Oryctolagus cuniculus: one gene and its partners. The protein of the gene in region 1 purifies or fractionates together with the protein of each later gene. This does not show direct contact. Links are inferred from orthologs where the notes say so. Each region holds a gene or a part of one and is shown in the gene's direction. Other genes may lie near its edges. The genes, in order: CTDSPL2, STK35, KPNA1 and KPNA2.

The links.
Region 2: the proteins of CTDSPL2 (region 1) and STK35 purify together in Homo sapiens (affinity purification with mass spectrometry; 3 studies listed by BioGRID and IntAct, counting the BioPlex papers as one, with this or other methods). This does not show direct contact. The link is inferred for Oryctolagus cuniculus from reciprocal best matches to the Homo sapiens genes CTDSPL2 and STK35.
Region 3: the proteins of CTDSPL2 (region 1) and KPNA1 purify together in Homo sapiens (affinity purification with mass spectrometry; 3 studies listed by BioGRID and IntAct, with this or other methods). This does not show direct contact. The link is inferred for Oryctolagus cuniculus from reciprocal best matches to the Homo sapiens genes CTDSPL2 and KPNA1.
Region 4: the proteins of CTDSPL2 (region 1) and KPNA2 purify together in Homo sapiens (affinity purification with mass spectrometry; 4 studies listed by BioGRID and IntAct, with this or other methods). This does not show direct contact. The link is inferred for Oryctolagus cuniculus from reciprocal best matches to the Homo sapiens genes CTDSPL2 and KPNA2.

Annotation. Positions count from the first base shown.
Region 1 is NC_091443.1:67,452,205-67,457,319, forward strand, and holds part of CTDSPL2 (CTD small phosphatase-like protein 2), read left to right. Parts: intron 1-2,295; coding exon 2,296-2,422; intron 2,423-3,682; coding exon 3,683-3,778; intron 3,779-5,115. UniProt on the Homo sapiens protein: Probable phosphatase.
Region 2 is NC_091442.1:27,789,676-27,794,790, forward strand, and holds part of STK35 (serine/threonine-protein kinase 35), read left to right. Parts: intron 1-1,505; coding exon 1,506-2,218; 3' UTR 2,219-2,254; intron 2,255-5,115.
Region 3 is NC_091435.1:78,642,439-78,647,553, reverse strand, and holds part of KPNA1 (importin subunit alpha-5), read left to right. Parts: intron 1-2,531; coding exon 2,532-2,710; intron 2,711-3,888; coding exon 3,889-4,076; 3' UTR 4,077-5,115. UniProt on the Homo sapiens protein: Functions in nuclear protein import as an adapter protein for nuclear receptor KPNB1. Binds specifically and directly to substrates containing either a simple or bipartite NLS motif.
Region 4 is NC_091448.1:13,972,849-13,978,532, forward strand, and holds the start of KPNA2 (importin subunit alpha-1), read left to right. Parts: upstream 1-2,086; 5' UTR 2,087-2,221; intron 2,222-2,459; exon of another isoform or gene 2,460-2,591; 5' UTR 2,592-2,835; coding exon 2,836-2,857; exon of another isoform or gene 2,858-2,969; intron 2,970-3,203; exon of another isoform or gene 3,204-3,222; intron 3,223-3,315; exon of another isoform or gene 3,316-3,473; intron 3,474-3,730; coding exon 3,731-3,828; intron 3,829-3,967; coding exon 3,968-4,105; intron 4,106-5,684.

The DNA of each region.
Region 1 (5,115 bases):
TTTTCTTTCCTTTCATTTATTTTTAAAAAGTCACAACCAGGCAAATCGAGAAAAATACTGTTGTCTTCAACTCATTTTGTGGGAAGTGACAGGAGAGTTCCATTAATTTTGTCAGCTAAAGTCAGATATTAAGACTGAAGCATTCTTCCTACATCCTGAAGATGTAGGAATTTTTAACCAAGAGCTAACAGATGACACAAAAGGTTCATAAAATCTTTGATAGCTAGGCATTAATTTTTTGAATACTTTCTCCCATATTGTCTTAGTGGAAAATTCTAAATTTAAATTTCTACTATTACTAGTACTTTTATTATTGAGTAGTTGTAACTAAGCTGCCAGCACACATGAGAAATGCTGTTTCCTAGTCACAAAAGTACATTGTAGTTTATTGTTATTTTACCTAGCTTTGGTAAAAGCATGCAAATGATTTTGCGTTGATGGTTTCAGACATTCTAAAGATTTTAGTTCAACATTTCTAACCTTCCAAAGGAACAGTGGTGAGCAGTACAAGCCCCTTTCCCTTTTAGAGAGTTCATTTGAGTAGGGAACAGATCATAGTCATGCTATTACAATGTGTTATAAAATCAACACCCTCTTTTAAACTACATTTACAAAATCTACACAACTGAGAGTTTAAACTTGTTTTATTTAGTTGTTTAGAAAACCTCAAAGATGAAAAGCTTTTTGGATGGAGATTGAATTTGTTAAGAGTGCTGTTGGGATTATCTGTATTGGTGACAGAGTAGATGTGCAGAAATTCTTCTAATTTCTGAATCCTTTGAGTTAAAATGCAGATTTGTTGACATAGAGGATCTGTTCTTAGATGACTGGCATAAGAAGTTTTTTCTAAACTTTTAAGTATTTGTTTTGACCATAAGGTTATTGACTAATTAAAGGGTTTTTAGTGTAATTTAATTGAAATAACTGCAGTGTCTATTTACTTCATTGTTTCTTGTTTGAGTTTGCTACTACTAGTGAAGGGACATTAACAGTGAGTTGCATTTACTTGCTATACCTGCCTACTCTTATTTTTTTCAAAGTGGAAATGCCTTTTAACTTTCCATAGACAGGTGACGATTTGACCAATTGAAAATATTTCTTATAATAGTGGGTGAAAGAACTGTTGTACATTTTGTCTGTTTGCAAAATTCATCCTCTTTTCCACTACCACTATTTATACTTTTAAGGCTGAGTGTCTATTTATGCGTGTTGGGAGGTATTAAAAATACTTATTTTTTGACAAACTGTGACAGATTTTATGAGTAGAAAGTCATATAATTTCATACTATAGGTATGACTAGGCTATAGCTATCAGAAATTATTGGGACTAAGAAACAGGGAAGACAAACTAACAATTATTAATGTACAGAATGGGGTATTTCAGTATGAAAAAATGATTAGTAATATAAAGGGGCTAATATTTTGAGTGTAAATGGTGATTCTGTAATTACTATTGTATATGAGTATTGTAAAACCTTTAATAGCTTTTTCAAATGCTACAGCATTTTTCTCCTTATCTAAAATTGGTAAAACATCAGTCTACATTTATAATACTTAAATCTGAATTCATCATTTTTCAATCCCTGTTTTTTCAAATGATCACATACACACTCCCACAAATTAAAATAGGATTGTTTATAAAAAGTTGACAGGATGGAATGTTTTGGCCTTAGTACCTTTTCTGAAAAACTATAAGGAAAAGCTAAAAAAGAATTCTTAAAAATGCCAACACAAAAACATTCCTTTTTATATTTTCTATTCTGGCATGTACAGGGATAGGGAGGCTGTGTGTTCTACTGGTTTAGAGCAAAGGACTGGGAGCCAGGAGGATCCTGGGTTCCAATGCGGGGCTAACCACTGACTTTGTGTGTGACCTTGGGCAAGTCACTTGATCTCCTTGTGCCTCAGTCAACCATCTGGAAAATTGGTTATAAAGCAGGACCTCGCTGACAACCAGATGCTGCATCTGAGCTGAGCTTTCCTGGGTAAATAAATTACAAAAACGATTTAGATTTTTTTTTTAACCTCCTCCTTTATAATTTAACAGTTTGGGATAAACTAGTTTTTAAAGTCATAGTAATATTTGGTATACAGTTTCAGTAATTGCTGTGAATTTTATAGTAAAACTGTAGCCCAGAGCCTAGGCCCATATTTGTATTTTAATTTCTTTTCTGAAAGAAAATAATAAGGGCTAGCTAGTAAAGCCTATGATATATATATATATATGTGTATATGTTTCCATGTATGTTGTACTTTATAGAGTTTTTTTTAATTATTTTTTTTTTTTACATTTAGGCATCGGCTTTTCCGTGAACATTGTGTTTGTGTACAAGGAAACTATATAAAGGACTTAAATATCCTTGGAAGAGATCTTTCAAAAACTATAATAATTGACAACTCACCGCAAGCCTTTGCATATCAGGTAGGAATAGAGTTGCTAAATAAATTCAGATTGGAAAAAATTCAATGAAGACAAATGCTGCTAAACAGACTATGAATATGATGGGAGAACAACAGAATTTTCACTGATGGACTTCGCTGATTAGGGTGTCATCTTTTAGAATTAGAAATGCCAAATTGGTATATTCTTTGTGGAAAATTTTTCTGAATGCAACATAAATGAAGGAAAACCTGAGTAGTACATCTGAATAGGATGGAACTATAATATATCTATTGCTTAATAATTTTTCTTAACAGCTGCTAATCATAAACGTGTTGGAGTTATGATTGGTTTAACTTTTTTTTTTTTCTGGTCTGTTTAACCTTTTGAAAGATTTTTCTTAGACTATTTTGTTAACATATTTGTGCCCTCTGTTAATATTTCTTTGAAAAGCAACTACAACTAAAGATGAGCAATCTTTGTAAAATATATTTTACTTTCCGAACATGTCCATGTGATACAATTTCTGAGAGTGGCTTCATGATAAATTAGCAGAGTAGGAAAACTGAAAAATGGATTAGGGTATAGATGAGACAAGATTGGTCCTTTGTTTCAAAATGTCTGTAATAAAACTTATTTTTTTAATGTAAAGAATTGTATATGGTATTGAAATGTGTTCACTTCGGGTCTCTGCTTTTATTTGCTTGCATTTTAAAACATGTTTTTAAGAATTTTATCTTGTTTTCCTAGGTACAGTCATTTCAGTTATCCTCTATCTCAAACATGATGTTTAGCCTGAATTTAAATATAAAGAAACAAAAATGATTTACATTCTTGTTTTTAGATTTCTCTTCCGTGAAACACCATGGAATCCATTTGTTCAGTTCCTACTGTGTTTCAGGTTATGCTAGTTGTTAGGAGTAGAACAATAAATATGACATAGTCCCTGTATAAAAAAAATGATTAAATAAAAGGTGTATGCTTTCTGCTAGTGTTCTATGTAGTAACTATTTCTTGAATGAATGAATAAAGATATGGTTTAAGCTGTGATGGTCCTAAACTTGATTTAATGGAGCTCTCTTGTTTAGTTTTATGCTTACCAAGGAAAAGTGACACTGAAAACCAATTAGGCTTTGTTAACATCTGTCCCTTGCACTATTGACTTGTAAGAGACAACTCTGGAAGCGTTCCTTTTCATAAGAACTTTTAAGAATCAATAATTTTATTGTATCTTTTTTATGCTTTCCATACCAGGCAAAATATAAGTAAAAGGAACATTTAATTACTTATTTATCATTTCAGCTTTCTAATGGAATCCCTATAGAAAGCTGGTTTATGGATAAAAATGACAATGAACTTCTAAAATTGATTCCATTTCTGGAGAAGCTTGTAGAACTGGTAAGTGTATCTTACAGTTTATATTTTTATATTTTGGTTTTCTTAATTATATTAAAACAATTTAAAAATAATTTATTTAAAAGGTAGAGCCACTGAGAGAAGGAAAGACAGATCTTCCATCTGCAGCTTCATTCCCTAATGGCTATAATGGCCAGGGCTGTGCCAGGAGTCCAGAGCCTCTTCTGTGTCTCCCACATGGGTGGCAGGGGCCCAAGCACTTGAGCCATTTTCTGTTGCTTTTCCAGGCACACCAGCAGGGAGCTGAATTGGAAGTAGCGCAGTATAGCTGGGACTTGAACCGGTGCCCACATGGGTTGCCGGCATAGCAGGTGACAGCTTAACCCACTATGTCACAATGCTGGCCCTCCAACAAATCTTTTTAAATTTTTTCACTTTATGTGTAGTGAAATTTAATGATCAACTATAGTGAGGGATTGAGGCATAGTTTGAAAAGGACTATGAGTATGTTCAAACCTTATATATTATATTAAAATTATAGATATAAGTGTTTTAAAATGTGTAGATTGTTTTTAATTGACAATTACAATATGCTCTTTCAAGTCACTAAAAGGTATGTTAGAAATAACATTAAATTGATTTCACTTTGCTTTCATAATTCTCATCTAGAATTAATGCTTATGTCACTGAAACTTTATTCAGGAAATTATTTTTCTACATGCATGGATCAATTGTAAGACTAATGTAGAAAGAATAATTCAGTGGATTAACACTTTTTCCTGTCTTCTAGTTTGGCCTCTTATAGCTTAATTTTTCTTAGAAAATTAAAACTTCAGAGAAAGTTTTTTAAATCTGGAATTTAGTTCTAAGTTAACTGTGTTATCTTTATATACTCATCCTTTTTTATCTCTGAAGGATTGGTTTCAAGATGTCCTGGAGCTGCCAAAATCTTTGCACGCTCAAACCCCTTATATAATCTATGCACATTATCATGTATCTTTTATTTATTTTTTAAAGATTATTTATTTGAAAGGCAGAGCGACAGAATGAGGGAAACACACACACACACACACCTTCCATCTGCTAGTTCACTCCTCAAATGGCCACAACAGCCGGGTCAGAGCCAGGCTGAAGCCACGAATGAGGAACTCTGTCTTGGTCTCCTACACGGATGGCAGGGGCCCAAGCATTTGCTGTCTTCTACTGCCTTCCCAGATGCATTAGCTGGAAGCTGGATCATAAGCAGAGCAACTGCACTCTGATATGGGATGCCAGTGTCACAAGCCATGGCTTAACTTGCTGCACTACAATACCAGCTGCCTTCCTATCAACTTTCAATTATCCTTAGGTATAGTACCTGATACAGTGTGGATATATAG
Region 2 (5,115 bases), on another chromosome or scaffold:
ATTTGATGGCTTTTAAACTCCTTTCTGGCTTTGCCACCAGGAGACGTTTCTTGCTTCCCCCTTAACAGATCTTTGCTCTTCAACTGACGCTGATCTGTGTTTCAAATCGCTGCTTCATTTTCTGGTGTTTTTAGATCCAGCACCTCGACCCACTCAGCCAATGACCTAGAAAGAGGATTATGAGAGAGGAAGCAACTGATTTTTTAAAAAAAGAAACCCATCTGCCCTAAACTGGTTCTACCTGTATTACTCTGATTGAGAGTAATAGAAACAAGAAAATTATATAATGACAAGGGAAGTGAGGCCTGTCAGATTGTGGTCACAAACCTAAAGCTTTTGTCTTGCATGTCAGGTCATCTCTGGTCTCAGCCTGGAGCTCCGGGGCTACTGGGTTAGTCGTGTACCTGGTTCTCTTTGTAATAAAGTCGAATAAAAGTCTAGTGGGAGGAACCTTCTGGCAGAGTCTTCCTGAGAAGGTGTAGCCCTTGTTTTTGCTATAATGGGTACAGCATGCGGGGGCCTGGAGGACTCAGGTCCTGGCTGAGGTCCAGATGCCCAGTGACCATGCAGGGCAGGTCCCTTCCCTTGCAGTCCAGCTTCCTCATCTGCCTCAGTTGAGATTTACGTAGAGGAATTAGTCACCAGCTTTCCTGGAGTTTCAAGACCACACAACTTAATTCAGATGCCACTGTTCCCAGCGGACTTCCTTTCCATTCCTTTGTCCCCGTGTTCTGTTGTCCAGTTCGTCTCTTGGTCTAGAATTCCCTTCTTGCCTCCTGCTACACTGCTGCCTGTCCTGCAGCCGATGACGTCCTCAGACCTGGGGACTCCTGCCCACCCTTCACTGTTCCTAGAAGTTGACCTTGATGCAGGTATGGCCCGCTGTTGTAGGTCCTTGTCACTCAGCTTCCTGTAGATGGGGCTCTTTATGTGCCCAGCCCGTGCTAGGCGTCTGGTGGGCTAGCAGAGTCCACTGATGGATTGGAGGGTGATTCAGAAGTAAGCAGAGTGGTAGTGCTAGTCCAGATGTGTTCATGAGAATCCTTCTACAGGTCAACAGAGAGGAGAGGGAAGGTCATCTGCCTGGCACGGAGTAACAGTGACAGAAGCCGTGGACATCTAATGGCTGTCTCTCTTGCCTTACCTGTGTCATGGCCAGTACCCTGGGAGGGATGGGCGGGAGCTGCTTGCTTGAAGACCACACAAGGAAAACATAGCTTCTTAGTCCACCAAACAGCAGAGAACTGAGTTCCTACCTCAACTTGATTCCAAACTCCAGTGCTTGATCGGAGCCTCATGCCTGTGTATTGACCTTGTCTGCTGTGGGTAGAAACAGGCCTGTGTGTGAAAGGCACAGGTGTGGTACCTGCTATGCAGGTGTTCTTGGAGCACCTCTTGTTCATCACCTCTGTCACTCTGAACTTTAAAACGCTGCGTTCTTTTATTCTAATAGTGCTGTGCCCGTGTGTCCGTCTCACTCGCGCTCCTTCCTGTCTTTGATCCAGGAGAAAGGATCCTGGGCTACGCGGAGGAGCCGTGCTATCTCTGGTTTGTCATGGAGTTCTGTGAAGGTGGAGACCTGAATCAGTATGTCCTGTCTCGGAGGCCGGATCCCGCCACCAACAAAAGCTTCATGCTACAGCTCACCAGTGCCATTGCCTTCCTGCACAAAAACCACATCGTGCACAGGGACCTAAAGCCGGACAACATTCTCATCACCGAGCGGTCGGGCACCCCCATCCTCAAGGTGGCAGACTTTGGACTGAGCAAGGTCTGTGCCGGGCTGGCACCCCGTGGCAGAGAGGGCAATCCAGACAACAAAAATGTGAATGTGAACAAGTACTGGCTGTCCTCTGCCTGCGGCTCGGACTTCTACATGGCTCCCGAAGTCTGGGAGGGGCACTACACGGCCAAGGCGGACATCTTTGCCCTGGGCATTATCATCTGGGCAATGATAGAGAGAATCACTTTTATTGACTCTGAGACCAAGAAGGAGCTCCTGGGGACCTACATCAAACAGGGCACTGAGATCGTCCCTGTTGGCGAGGCGCTGCTAGAAAACCCAAAGATGGAGTTGCACATCCCCCAGAAACGTAGGACTTCCATGTCTGAGGGGATCAAGCAGCTCTTGAAAGACATGTTAGCTGCTAACCCACAGGACCGGCCTGATGCCTTTGAACTTGAAACCAGAATGGACCAGGTCACATGTGCTGCTTAAAATTCAGGGCTGAGCATCTTGGGTGTTTTAAACTAGGTGAGTACTCTCCTTGTTCGGTGCTTGAACACGAACGCTTGCTGGACCGAGCTTTTACGCTGGAGTTGGGCGGGGCGGGGAGGGGGGTGCAAGAGATCCGAGTGCTTGTTCTCCACCATCTCCCCAAGTCTTGACCAGGAGAGAGTGGGGTTATTTGAATATAAGCCGTAAAGTCTAGAGAAGTCTGAGAGCAGGTTGCGTTGGAGCTGTCCCTTAAGGTTCTTAAGAAGCTCTTGTTCCCACCATCAAGTAATCATTGCTCGCTGTAGAAAATGCTATTTTCAGTGGGTAAATACCGTCCCTGATCCTGTCCCTGTCATCAGATCCAGTTCCGCAGAGTTTAAGCCTTGTAGTTATATGGAACGTTGCTCCCTGTACTTTGCACTCTTTGGAGCCTTCTCCCATCACACTTGAGCGTGGATTTCAGTTTCCTGAGTGTGACATCCCATTTTGGGTACCCTACTTGAACCATTCTAGTTCAGGTAGCAGGCTGTTTCTCCATTGTACATACTACAGTGGATACTCATGTGGAAGCCTCTGCTTACTAGATGTGTGGCGGACTTTTCATTTGTCTAGGCTTGTGGGTTACGTGATCAACCCAATCAGAAACATTCCCCATCCCCATGAGTTCTGCAGCTGAGCTGGGGAGAGACATCAGTTACAGTTGTTTTAAAGTGAAGTGTTGTGTGAACTTGGCCTTAACATTCCTTAAAAGGGTGGGGAGAAGGGCTGGTAGTGTCCAGAGGCAAGAACCGGGATTAGGGCAGAGGTGTGTTAGGTAGAAGGACCCACCTCTGTGTGGGGCCAGGAGCCGGCAGGAGCCTGGCGCACTGGACAGACGAAAGCGTGTACCAAGAGCAGCAGCAGTCATTCTGCGGACCAGAGCAGGGTCCTAGTATGGGCAAGGGAAGTAAGATGGCTCCCGGCACGGGGCAGGTGTTTCCACATGGTTCACCTTCACAGCCCTGCAAGGCTCAAGCCCTGCTGAGTTAAGGACAGGTTTGTCTTACTCTGAGCTGCCTTTTCCTTAACATCAACTTGCCAAACTGGAAATGAGACTCCCAGATAGTGGGAGACAGTGCTGACCCCAGTGACCACAAAGGGAGAGGCCTCGGGCATCTCAGCACAGGGCCTTGCGTCACCTGGGTCACTGCGAGGCTCTCCTTTCTCTTCCTCAGCCTCGTTAATTGGTGCAGTTGGCTCACACCAAGTTGAGCCTGGTTATGTCTGTGGTGCTCTCAGAGTGCGTATTTCTGGAGTGAGTCACTAGCTTGAATTCTCCATTCCACAGACATTTATTGAGTACCTTCCAGGTGTCAGGCCAATTTGTCCAGCTACCCACTGAGTGAGAGAACAACATTCCCCACAGCTAGGTTTGGAGTAGCGGTATGTTACAAGCCACAAGACTAGGCTAGACGGCATTTTAATTACGTTTCGTGCTGTCACGTCCCATTTCCATCTCCTTTTCTGCTTTTGAAAGAATCTAGAATTCAGGTTTACTCTGGTGCAGCAAGAAGGTTGTCATGGGAAGAGGCACCTGGGTTTGGGTTAGGATTATGGAGTTGTCACAACATGTTGAGATCAGGGCTTCTGTTTGGGCACAGCACTTGGGATTTGTGCTGCTTTGCAGGGTGAAGTTCTTTCTCAAGAGGGATGATTCCTTCATCTAGGACAACAGGTGGCCTTAAACAGGAGAAAAGATTAGGAACTAGGAATGTAGCTACAGGTAAGCGTCTCAACTGAATTGTGTGGCTCTGATAGATTACGAGTTTAAGTACCAGTGGTGCCAATTTGACTATAGCCTGTCCTTCCCAGTTCTGGGTGGGCATTTAGAGTTGTGATCCTGGGCCCGAGTCTGTGTGCCCAGAGCCAAACCTTGTGGTGCCAAAAGCTTCAAGTCGGTGGTGTGGGTGACCTGTATCTGGCCAGGTAGAATGAGAGGCTTGATCCATCTATTCATTTAGTGCATTTTTTCCCACACTTTTGCCAGGTACCATTGTAGGCACAGGTGGTATTTCAGTGAACAAGACTGACAGCATTCTTTGCATTTGTAGGGCTTCCATTCAATTGGGAAGTCAGGCAGATAGTAGGCATAGGCAATTTATTAGGAAGTGCTAAGTGCTGGGCGGTGAGGGTTGTGCTTTTAAATGGAAGGGTTCAGGGTGGGATCTTGGAAGAAAAATAAGGAGTTGAGGTAGTGAGTCTTGGATTTCTTAGGGAAGAGTGTCCCAAACAGATCACAGCCAGGGTAAAGGCAAGAGAGGTGGAGCAGACAAGAAAAGAGGGTAGGGAGGTAACCAGGAGTCAAGTCCGGCTTTTATTTTGGGGAGAGGTGAAAATCCACTGGTGCTTACAGTCGTGGCATAATCTGGTCTCCGTCTCCTGCGCTAAAAAGAACGTAAGGCAGCAGGTGAGGGCTGAGATGGGAAATGACCTTGACAATCCAGGTGAGAGATGTTGGCGGCTCCAAGCAGTGCAGAGGTGAGGTGGTGAAGGGATTTGGTAAACTTGGAACTCAGATCCAACAGGGTTTCCTGCTGGATTGAGCGTGAATTATGGGAAAAGGGGAATTAACAGCGACTCCAAGGGTTTGGCCTGATGAGAAGGATACAGTTGTCACCAAATAATGCTGGGAAGATACTGGGAGAGTAGGCTGGGTTGTAGGAAGATAGGCTTTTTCATCTGCAAGTTTGTCACACCTATATAGAATCTAAACGCGGATGTAAAGTAGACAGGTGAATGAGAGTGGGGTTCAAGGGAAGGGGCCAGCCTTCAGATAGAAACTAGGGACTGCCAAGGAGCTGTAGAGTGCAGACCAGAGAGCAGAGAACTGAGCTCCTGGGCCGTCCGGCCTTGGAGCT
Region 3 (5,115 bases), on another chromosome or scaffold:
ATTAATAGTAGATTTGGACCAAACCTGAAATAGAGGTATGCCAAATTCAGAAGAAGCAGTTGTCTTCTAAAATATTATGGTATTCAATAAAGGGAGAGATCTGTAGTAGTTTGAGATTTAAATGGTTCACTTGGTAGTAGCTTATAATCTTAAAGGGTAGAGAAGGCATATATGTGGCCAAGAATTGGTTCCTCCATGGGGCCAGCGCCGTGGCGCACTAGGTTAATCCTCCATCTGTGGCACCAGCATCCCATGTGGGTGCTGGTTCTTGTCCCGCTGCTCCTCTTCCAGTCCGGCTTTCTGCTGATGGCCTGGGAAAGCAGTAGAAGGTGGCCCAAGTGCTTGGGCCCCCATACCCGCATAGGAGACCAGGAGGAAGCACCTGGCTCCTGGCTTCGGATCAGCACAGCTCCAGCCGTTGCGGCCATCTGGAGAGTGAACCAATGGAAGGAAGACCTTTCTCTCTGTCTCTCTCTTGCACTGTCTGTAACTCTACCTGTCAAATAAATAAATTTTTAAAATCTTAAAAAAAAAAAAAGAATTGGTTCCTCAAAGGTGCATCATATAATTAAATGCTAAATTCTGGATGAAGATAGGAAAAAATTCTCAAATAGAAAACAAGTAATGATGACGAGAATAGGGGAACCTGACTTTATCAGACAAACATAGCAGGAAGCTGGATCAGAAGCAGAACAGCTGGGACCTGAGAAAGTGCTCTGATACAGGATGATGAGGTTGTAAGAAGTGGCTTAACCTGCTATGCCACCCCCAACTTTTTTGGTTTTAATGTTTGTTTATTCTCATCTACTTGAAAGGCAGAAAGAGGGAAAGATGGAAGGAGGGAGAGGGGGAGAGAGATCTTCCATCCTCTGGTTTACTCTCTGAATGCCTGCAGTAGCAGGGGTTGGGCCAGGCTGAAGTTAGGAGCTGGAAACTCCATCTGGATGTCTTACATGGGTGGTAGGGACCTAAGCACTTGAGCCATCATCTGCTATCCCCCAGGACGTATTAAGAAGAAGCTGGACGTGAAGTAGAGTGGCTGGGACTTGAGCAGTGTGGCAAGCTGGTGTCTGAATCTGTGGCTTAAACTGCTGTGCCACGTGCCTACTGTCATCCCTCTTTGAAACTCACCATATTTATAATGTGTTAATTATCAATTTCCTAGTGATCTCTTCTTGCCCAACTTGAAAGAATTTTTTAAAAATATTACAGTCCAAATTATAGAAAATAAATCGATGCCATCACTGATAAAAGACATCTATTAAGAAACTGCTAGGCTATATTCCTAAAAAGTTATCCTATTTTGCATTCTAAGCAGAAACAAAGTTAGTTTTGGTATTAAGGAAATGCTGGCATCATGAAATAAGCCAAGAAGTCTTCTCTCTCTTCTGTTTTCTAGAAGGAATGGTAGAACAAGTTTCATTTTGTCTTTAAATGTTTGGTTAAAATTCACCAGTGAAACCATCTCCTGGTGCTTTGTAGTTTGGAAGGTTATTCAGTATTGACTGAGTTTAATACATATAGACCTATTAAAATTATCCATTTCTCCTTGTGATTTTTGGTAGTTTACATCTATCTTTTTAAACTTTTATTTAATGAATATAGATTTCCAAAGTACAGCTTATGGATTACATTGGCTCCCCCCACCCCCCCATGACTTCCCTCCCACCCGCAACCCTCCCAGTTTACATCTTTCAAGAAGTTGATTTGTTTTATTGTCCTAGTTGTCAAATTTGTGGGTATAGAGTTGTTTGTAATATTTCTTTATTGCCCTGTTAATGTCCACAGAGTCATAAATGATGACCGTTTTTTCTTTTGTGATCCCAGTAATTTGTCTTTTTCTTAAGGTTGGTTTGCCTAGCCAGAGATTTATTTTTATATATTTTTGAAACTTAAAAATATAGATTAGCACTTATAATAGTAAGTTCAAAATGATACTATTCACATCCACAGAATGCAACCAGATTCATCATCTCCGCCTCTCTACACACAGGAGAAACCAGAATGATACAAAAGGACATGAATATCTGCTGTGATTATGGTGTAGAGATCTCATATCGCTGTTTCATCATTTAATCTTGATTATATTCTATCTGGATTAAAGGAAAAATACTGGCTCTAGAGGCGTCCTTACATTTGTTTTATAATTCCATATGGCCTTTTTGCAACTTGTTTAGTAAGATGCTAATCGTGTTTGGAATATTTGGCCTTTGGGCTTGTGCTGATTTAAGCACCAAGTATGTCATGTTTGAGAGGTATGACTACCTACAGAAACGAAGAGGAAGTTAATCAAAACTATATTGTTTTGATGAGCTGCTTATAGTCAAAGCAGGAAAGTATCCCAGTTTTTTAGAATCCAAAAACTGGGGAGAAATAAACCAGCCACAGGCTGGCTTTGATTAACTTATGTGTAGCAAGTTGTAGCCTTATTTTCTCTGCAGTGAGTTGAGAAGGATGATTCACACATTTTGTAAAAGTTTTATGAAACGTAAAGTCTTGTTTGATTAAATTGTTCTTTGTATTAACTTTAGGTATCTGGTAGAACTGGGTTGTATCAAGCCGCTCTGTGATCTCCTCACAGTCATGGACTCTAAGATTGTCCAGGTTGCCCTGAATGGCTTGGAAAACATCCTAAGGCTTGGAGAACAAGAAGCCAAAAGGAACGGCACTGGCATTAATCCTTACTGTGCTTTGATTGAAGAGGCTTATGGTAAGATGCTTTGATTGAAGAAGTTTATGTCAGGCCAGCGCCGTGGCTCACTAGGCTAATTCTCCGCCTTGCGGCGCCGGCACACCGGGTTCTAGTCCCGGTCGGGGCGCCAGATTCTGTCCCGGTTGCCCCTCTTCCAGGCCAGCTCTCTGCTGTGGCCAGGGAGTGCAGTGGAGGATGGCCCAAGTGCTTGGGCCCTGCACCCTATGGGAGACCAGGAGAAGTACCTGGCTCCTGCCATCGGATCAGCGTGGTGCACCGGCTGCAGCGCGCCAGCCGCGGTGGCCATTGGAGGGTGAACCAACGGCAAAGGAAGACCTTTCTCTCTGTCTCTCTCTCACTGTCCACTCTGCCTGTCAAAAAAAAAAAAAAAGTTTATGGCAAAGAATTAATTGGGCCATAAATATAGTTCAGTAACAACATTAACACCACTGCTAGGCACTGGGGGATATAATGACTGCTTTTATGGAAATTGTTGCTTTTACAGACTGGATGTTACTTTTCTATTTTGTTGTTGTTAAGATTTATTTTTATTTATTTAAAGGGCAGAGTTTACAGAGAGAGGAAGGGAGAGAGAGAGATCTTCCATCCACTGGTTTACTCCCCAAATGGCTGCAACGGCCAGAGCTGGGCCAGTCCAAAGCCAGGAGCCAGGAGCTTCTTCCGGGTCTGCCACATGGGTGTAGGGCCCAAGCACTTGTACCATCCAGCACTTGAACTGGCGCATATGTGGGATGCTGGCATTGTAGGCAGCAGCTTTACCCACTATGGCACATGCTGGCCCCTTTTTCTCTGTATTTTTAAGATGGCAGTCTATAGTATAGCTTTCAGATGTAATTCCAGGAATCATTTCTGTGGTATCACTTGAGGTATTAGAGAATCTACCTTTATATCAGGTGTGGGAGACCGTTTTTCTGCCAAGGGCCATTGGATATTTATAACATCATCTGTAGGGCATACAAAATTATCAACTTAAAATTAGTTAGTCTGCTGTAGATTAATTGGATTTTTTGTCACCTGCAGTTGCCTTGTCAGGGCTACACCAAAAGATTTCACCAGCCTTATGTGGCCCACGAGCGGAATACACCCCACCCCTGCTTTACATCGAAGAAGGAAACATACAGTAAAATGTAGCTTACCTGAAGTTTTTCATAAAGATTTTCCTTTATTCTTTCTAGGTCTGGATAAAATTGAATTCTTACAGAGTCATGAAAACCAAGAGATCTACCAGAAGGCCTTTGATCTTATTGAGCATTACTTTGGGACCGAAGATGAGGACAGCAGCATTGCACCCCAGGTTGACCTTAGCCAGCAGCAGTACATCTTCCAGCAGTGTGAGGCTCCTATGGAAGGTTTCCAGCTTTGAAGCAATACTCTGCTTTCTTGTTCCTGTGTCACACCAGGCTACCCAGTCAAGTCCTCTTGTGGAGCCCACAGTCCTCATGGAGCTAACTTCTCAAATGTTTTCCATAATACTGTTTGCGCTCATTTGCTTGCCTTGCGCACCTGCTCTTTACACACATTGGAAAACCTCTGGCTCTCTGTGGTGGAATACCCTTCTAATAAAAGGGTAACCAGAACGGCCCACTCTCTTATGGAAAAATCCCTAGGCTTTGGAGATCTGCACTTATTAGAATCATGGGAATACACACATTAGTGTGGCTCCCTTTTTTTGTAGGGGAAAAAGAGGACTCCTCATTCCCTTTAAAGTGGGGAAAAGAAATACTGACATTAAAGATGAAACTAAACCTTTATCTTGAATTTCTCACAGCTACTTGCGACAAGGGTAATGTTTAGACCCGATGCATATACTTCAGAGTACTTCTCATGAGTTCTTCCACACTGAACCCTTGGATTACCTGGCGGCTTTTTCTAGCCAAATTTGCATTAATCCTTACTGAGATTGGATGGTTTTCTTTCCTCTATTGGCGCCATTCTACAGATATTAAAGTTAAACCATCCATTCCCTCACCTTCAGCCTTCAGTGAATGTGCTTTCTAGTTGTCAGGAATGCTGAAGAATTAACACTTTGACTCTTAAATGTGACACAGGTTTGCAGATTCCCTTAAAGCAGAATGAAGAGGAGCACATATTAATTTGTATGGCTTCTCTGGTCTTAATGTGTCTTAGGATTTGGAAGTGGTTCAATTCTAACATTGATATGAAGATTTAGAATCTTAGTGATCAAAAAACCATATCCTATTATTCAATACAAAAATAAGAAAAACAAAAATATAAAATATCCCTCTAGTTTTCCCAGACTCAACCAGTGTGACTAGAGGTTGTGTTTCTGCACTAAAGAAATGTTTCAGGCTTTGTGGTCCTGATCAAGGTCCTCATTAAATTGGAGCTCACCTTAGGTGCTTTCCCCTCTGTGACTGGCAGATTACACATACAAAGGTAAC
Region 4 (5,684 bases), on another chromosome or scaffold:
TGCTGCAAGGCTGGGGCTGGCTGAGGTGGGAACTCAAACCAGGCCTCCCTCATGGGTGGCAGGAACTCAACTACCTGTGCCATCCCCTGCTATCTCCCAGGTATCTGCAAAAGAACCCACCAGAACAGCCCGTGAGAGGGAGCCCAGGTAGGTGTGTTGACCTGCTTGGGCAGGCAGACAGCCAGAGGTCGAGTACTGCTGCATGAAGGTGACAGTCCAAGAAGCAGACTTGCGACTGCAGGTGAGCTTCCCAGTGGTCCAACAGGTGTTCCCAGCCGGGTAATCTGCATTTCTGGGCGGAGCTGAGAAGGCTGCACAGCCCTTAGCTTAGGGGCTTTCCCAGTTCACCCGGTGCCCTGGAGCGACACTCCACAACGGCCCTTCCCTGCGGGCCACCTGTGTGCTACCTGCTGGCCTACTGGGCTAAGTGCCCGCTCACTTAACTCCATCCCTGTGTGTGTAACACTTAGAATCTTCTGGGAACATACTGCTCAATGTTTTTTTGTTTTTTTTTTTTTTTTTGGCAGGCAGAGTGGACAGTGAGAGAGAGAGACAGAGAGAAAGGTCTTCCTTTGCCGTTGGTTCACCCTCCAATGGCCGCCGCAGCCGGCATGCTGCCACCGGCGCACCGCGCTGATCCGATGGCAGGAGCCAGGTGCTTCTCCTGGTCTCCCATGGGGTGCAGGGCCCAAGCACTTGGGCCATCCTCCACTGCACTCCCTGGCCACAGCAGAGAGCTGGCCTGGAAGAGGGGCAACCGGGACAGAATCTGGCACCCCGACCGGGACTAGAACCTGGTGTGCCGGCGCCGCAAGGCAGAGGATTAGCCTAGTGACTGCTCAATGTTTTTAAAAGTATATGCTTATTGATTTATTTTCACTGGGTTTGAATGTCAGGAACAGAGAGAGAGAGAATGTGAGAGAGCACTTCCAACCACTGGTTTACTTCCCAAACACCAGTTAACAGCCAGGGCTGGGCCAAATTGAAGCCATGTGTGACAGCGCAATGTACTTGAACCTTCACCTCTGCCTGCCATGGTGTACATCAGCAAGAAGCTGGTTCGGAAGTGGCGTATCCAGAAGTCAAACCCGGCACTCCGCTGTGCTGCATCAAATTCCTATCTCATAATCGGTATTTTCAAGCGAAAGGAACTGAAGTAACAGCATTGGGTCCTGCGTACCTGCGGAGGTGAGGCAGGCTGCTGCCCAGAGCTCAGCTTCTTTACAACTTGGTTATTCAGAGTCTCAGGACTCCCAGCCTTCTATTCAGATCAGAGCTGCTTTCCCACCTCCAAGAATTAAACAAAAGGCATAGGCTTCCCAACTGGATGAATTTAGGTCATGTGCCGGCCCCGAACCATTCCCGGCAGCCAAGAGGAGGCCCTGCGCTGATTGGGTCGGGAGGAATTCCTTCCACATTCTTGCACGGAGGGGCATGGGGATACGCCGAGTGGGAGTAAGAGCAGCTCCTGTGAGCCCCTTGGCTGCTGTGCTACAAGGGAGCAGGCGTCGGTTCCTGCAAGAATTGGCAAAGTTCAGTTTGAAATTATTTTATAGTAAAAGGATCAATGCAAGTTTCCTTTAGAACACAGAAGAATAGCAGAAAGAAAACAAATGGCTCATAATCCTGATGCTAACAACCATCCTTACTGGTTAAAAAGAAAGAACATGACAAAAACTGCAGATTTTATTTGGAAATGCATTAAATACAACATAGACCGTTCCTGGGACAACTGGCAAAGCTGAACACAGAATATGATAAGTAATACCAGGAGAGTTCAGTTTTCCTGAATTGGATGACTGCTGTGTGATTGTATCAACGAAAGATAAGCTCTCTCCCCCGGGAGACGCATTCTAAAATGTTAGGGTAGGACATGCTTTTTGAAACTTTCAAATGGTTCCAAATATACACGCACATGCACAGAAAAACGGGTGTTTCCCTGTAAATATCGCAAAATGTCAGCATCTGGCAAATCTGGGTGAAGATTAGCAATTCTTTGACATTAAAAATTTGTAAAACGTGTTGGGAGAAGCAGACATCATAAACCGTTTGTTACCATCGCCGAAGCTTCTACAGCCTCTTATGACGCAATTAAAAAGACCCAAAAATTCCGACGGCAGGGTGCTTTACTCCCCGCTCCGTCCGCGGCCGAAAGCCTCGCCCGGTTCCTCCGGTTCTACCCTCAAAACGACGCGAAATGCCCTTCACACAACTGTTTTAGGTATGATGTCTTGAGAACTTTTTAAAAAAAATTGTAAGAATTTATTGATACATTGGATCCTCAAGGTCACAGCAGAGTTTTTTCATTTTCTCGGTATTTGCTTAACCCAGCCGCTCAAAAACGAACAAACAAAAAAACGACCAAGGAGCAATGCGCGGAAACGCGCAGTCAGTGGAGGTTGACAGACGGGGCTGGGAGCCGCCCCATCGCGCGGCATGCCGGGATCTGTAGTCCTCCCACTCCGGCCTGCAAGGCGCTCTGGGATATCGCCCGACCGCTCCTTCATCTCGCGAGGCTATACTCCGCTTCTAGGCCCTCTGACCCTCCTCCCCTTCTAACGTGTTTTTTAAATCCACCAATGGGTACAAAGCTTAGGCTCGAACTGGCCAATCGGAACGCGGAGCCACCGGGAAATTTAAATCGCGCCGGCCGGCTGCACGAGGCACACCGTCTCAGGGCTGATCCGCGGTAGACGTTTGCAGGGCGGCTGACCGGCAGTCTGTGGACACGCACCGCCTCCTGGGGAAGCCTGCGTCGGCTGTGCAGGTACAGCGTGAGGCCGCAGCCCGGCGCGGGCGGTAACGGCTGCCCGGGAGGCCGCGCTCGGCTTGCGGATGGCGGGAGGGGAGGCCGCGGGTACGCGCTGGGCCCGGCTGTGGCCTCCCTCGCGGATGAGGCCTTCGGGGCGTCGTTGAGTGTCGCGGCGGCTTAGTGGGCGGCGCGGAAGCTGGGGCTCCGGGGCGCCGAGGTTCGGGAGGCGGCGGCGAAAGCCGGAGCGCGGCGGGCTGGAGGGCGAGAGGCCGGCGGAAGGGCCGGGGCGCCGGCCTCGCCTCGGCGGGCCCCGCCGCGTCGTCCCTGGGGCGGGGGCGGAGGTGGCGGTTGGGGCCGAGTGAACACGGAGGTTCCGGCGGTGCGGGGTCGCCCCGGCCGCGGCCCCCGCGAGTCCAGGCTCTGGCAGTGTAGACGTGTGCGCGCCGCCGAGGCGCGGCCCCGCGCTGCGGGTGGGCGGCGTTCGCGGGGAACGCCGGGGCAGGCTCGGCGGGGTCGGGGTGCCCGGGGTGGTGGTTTGCCTGCCCGCGAGCGCGGCGGGGGTCCCTGCTGGCCCCCGAGGGTCTGCGTTCACTGCCGCTGCCCTCGTCCGTGGTGGGCTGTCGGGGGCCTGGCCCGGAGCCTCCCTGCCCGGGACGGGGGCGCTGGGGAAGGGGCGTGAGCGTCCAGAGACGCGAGATGGGATAGAGTGAACGATCCCTCTGTATGTGGAAGCGATAGTGTTTTGGACAGTTGTGTTAAGCAGTGGATCATTCCCCCTTTGGCCTTGTCAGTGTGGTGCCGGGCAAAGGGTGGGCAGTGCTGCTCCAGGGGGGCTTGGACCCTCGGAGGGGGGGGGGTTGTAGGAGCGACGGCCTGGCGTTCCTCCTGCAGGGTGGGGGTTGCTGGGCTTCCTGCCCTTGGGGTTCCGTTGGACAAAGCAGACTGGGAAACCGGAGTGTTGCCCTTCCTGCCTTCCAGCTGATTCCTTCGGTCTCGTCGCCATGTCCACCAATGAGAATGCCAACTCACCGGCCGCCCGGCTCCACAGATTCAAGAACAAGGGGAAGGACAGCACCGTGAGTACCTGCTGCTTCCCCGTGGGAGCTGCAAGACAGGAGCTGGGGTGGGAAGGGGGGGGACGGGAAGCTTTTTCCTTTTTTTTTTTTTTTTTGCAACAAAGTCGGATAGGTGAGGGGATGTGTGTCTTGTCTCAAGGAAATGAGACGGCGCCGAATAGAAGTGAACGTGGAGCTGAGGAAGGCCAAGAAGGATGACCAGATGCTGAAGAGGAGGAACGTGAGCTCCTTTCCCGACGATGCGACTTCGCCGCTGCAGGAAAACCGCAACAACCAGGTAGGTTCTGCAGCGGCTCGGCGTGTTTCTGACATCTCAGTTCCGTTCCTGGTGTTGGGCTTTAATGGTCACCTCTGTGAAGATTTCTGACTCCCCTTCGCGTGCCGGCTGCGGGGCTGTCTTGACCCGACCGCTCCGCTGTTGGCTGGCGCGTCCAGAGCCAACCACTTCCTGATGGGTTTCTGCCTCTTCTGGTGTTCTCCATTTCTTTTATTTGTTCACATCTTTTCCCTCCTGAGATCTTAACAGTAGCTTGTAATTTATCTTTGGCTTCATTCTGTACCATATACTTTTTTCCCGAAACACAATCATACCATATAACGTTTTGGTCAACAGTGGACTTCAGCATCATGGGATCTGACGAAGTGGTAACGGAATTGGTACATGAGTATATAGCTGAAGAAGAGGCAAGAAAAGGGAACTTATAGGGGGAAACGAACCTCCAAGAAATTGACAGTGACAGTTTTAGCAGAAGCTTTTGTGAAACTTGGCAAACTCCTGAAAGAGCTTGAAAATATGGACGTGAACGCTGAGAGGTTTCTGTCGGTAGGAAGGAATGTCATGGCACGTTAGCTGCTTCCCGCTGGTCTGCGATGGAAGGGAAATTCTCCACGGACGGACATGCGTGTTTCAGAGCAGCCCCTCGGGAGGAGCCTCGTGCAGGTCTTCCGGAGGCCATTGCTGTCATGGGAGGTGACGGCTCCATTCATGTCCCTGAGACCTCAGTGATGCCTAGACCCTGAGTAGACCCGGGACAGTGTATGTGATTGTTTGCTTTTAACAAAAGTATAAAGAGCAAAACTTTAAAAAACAAAGACAACTTTTGATAAGAAATACAAAGAAGGTATAGAGACAGGGGAGTGACCTAGTGTCTGAGATGCCACTTGGGATGCCTACGTCCCGCATCAGTGTCTGCCTTTGAGTCTCAGGCCTGCTTCTGGTAGAGCTTCCTGCTGAGGCACACCCCGGGGCAGCAGGCGATGGCTGAAATACTTGGGTCCCCGCCGCCCACGTGAAACCAGCTTTGAATTCCAGGCTCCCGGCTTTGGCTTGTTCAGCCCCAGCTATTGAGGGCATTTGGAGAATGAACCAGAGGATGGAAGCTCTCTATATCTCTTTCTTTCTTTTTTCTACTTTTTCTGTTTTTTTTTGAGGCTGCATTTTTATTATTTTTTTAAAATATTTATTTCCTTGGGGCCTGCACTGTGGCTCACTTGGTTAATCCTCCACCTGCAGCGCCGGCATCCCATATGGGCGCCGGGTTCTAGAACTGGTTGCTCCTCTTCCAGTCCAGCTCTCTGCTGTGGCCTGGGAGGACAGTGGAGGATGGCTCAAATCTTTGGGCCCTGCACCCGCATGGGAGACCAGGAGGAAGCACCTGGCTCCTGGTTTCTGATTGGCGCAGCACCGGCCGTAGCGGCCATTTGGGGAGTGAACCAGCGGAAGGAAGATCTTTCTCTCTGTCTCTCTCACTGTCTATAACTCTACCTGCCAAATAAATTTTAAAAAAATTTATTTCCTTGAGAATTAGAGTTACAAACAGAGAGAGAGAGACGGAGAGGTCTTAAATCTGCTGGTT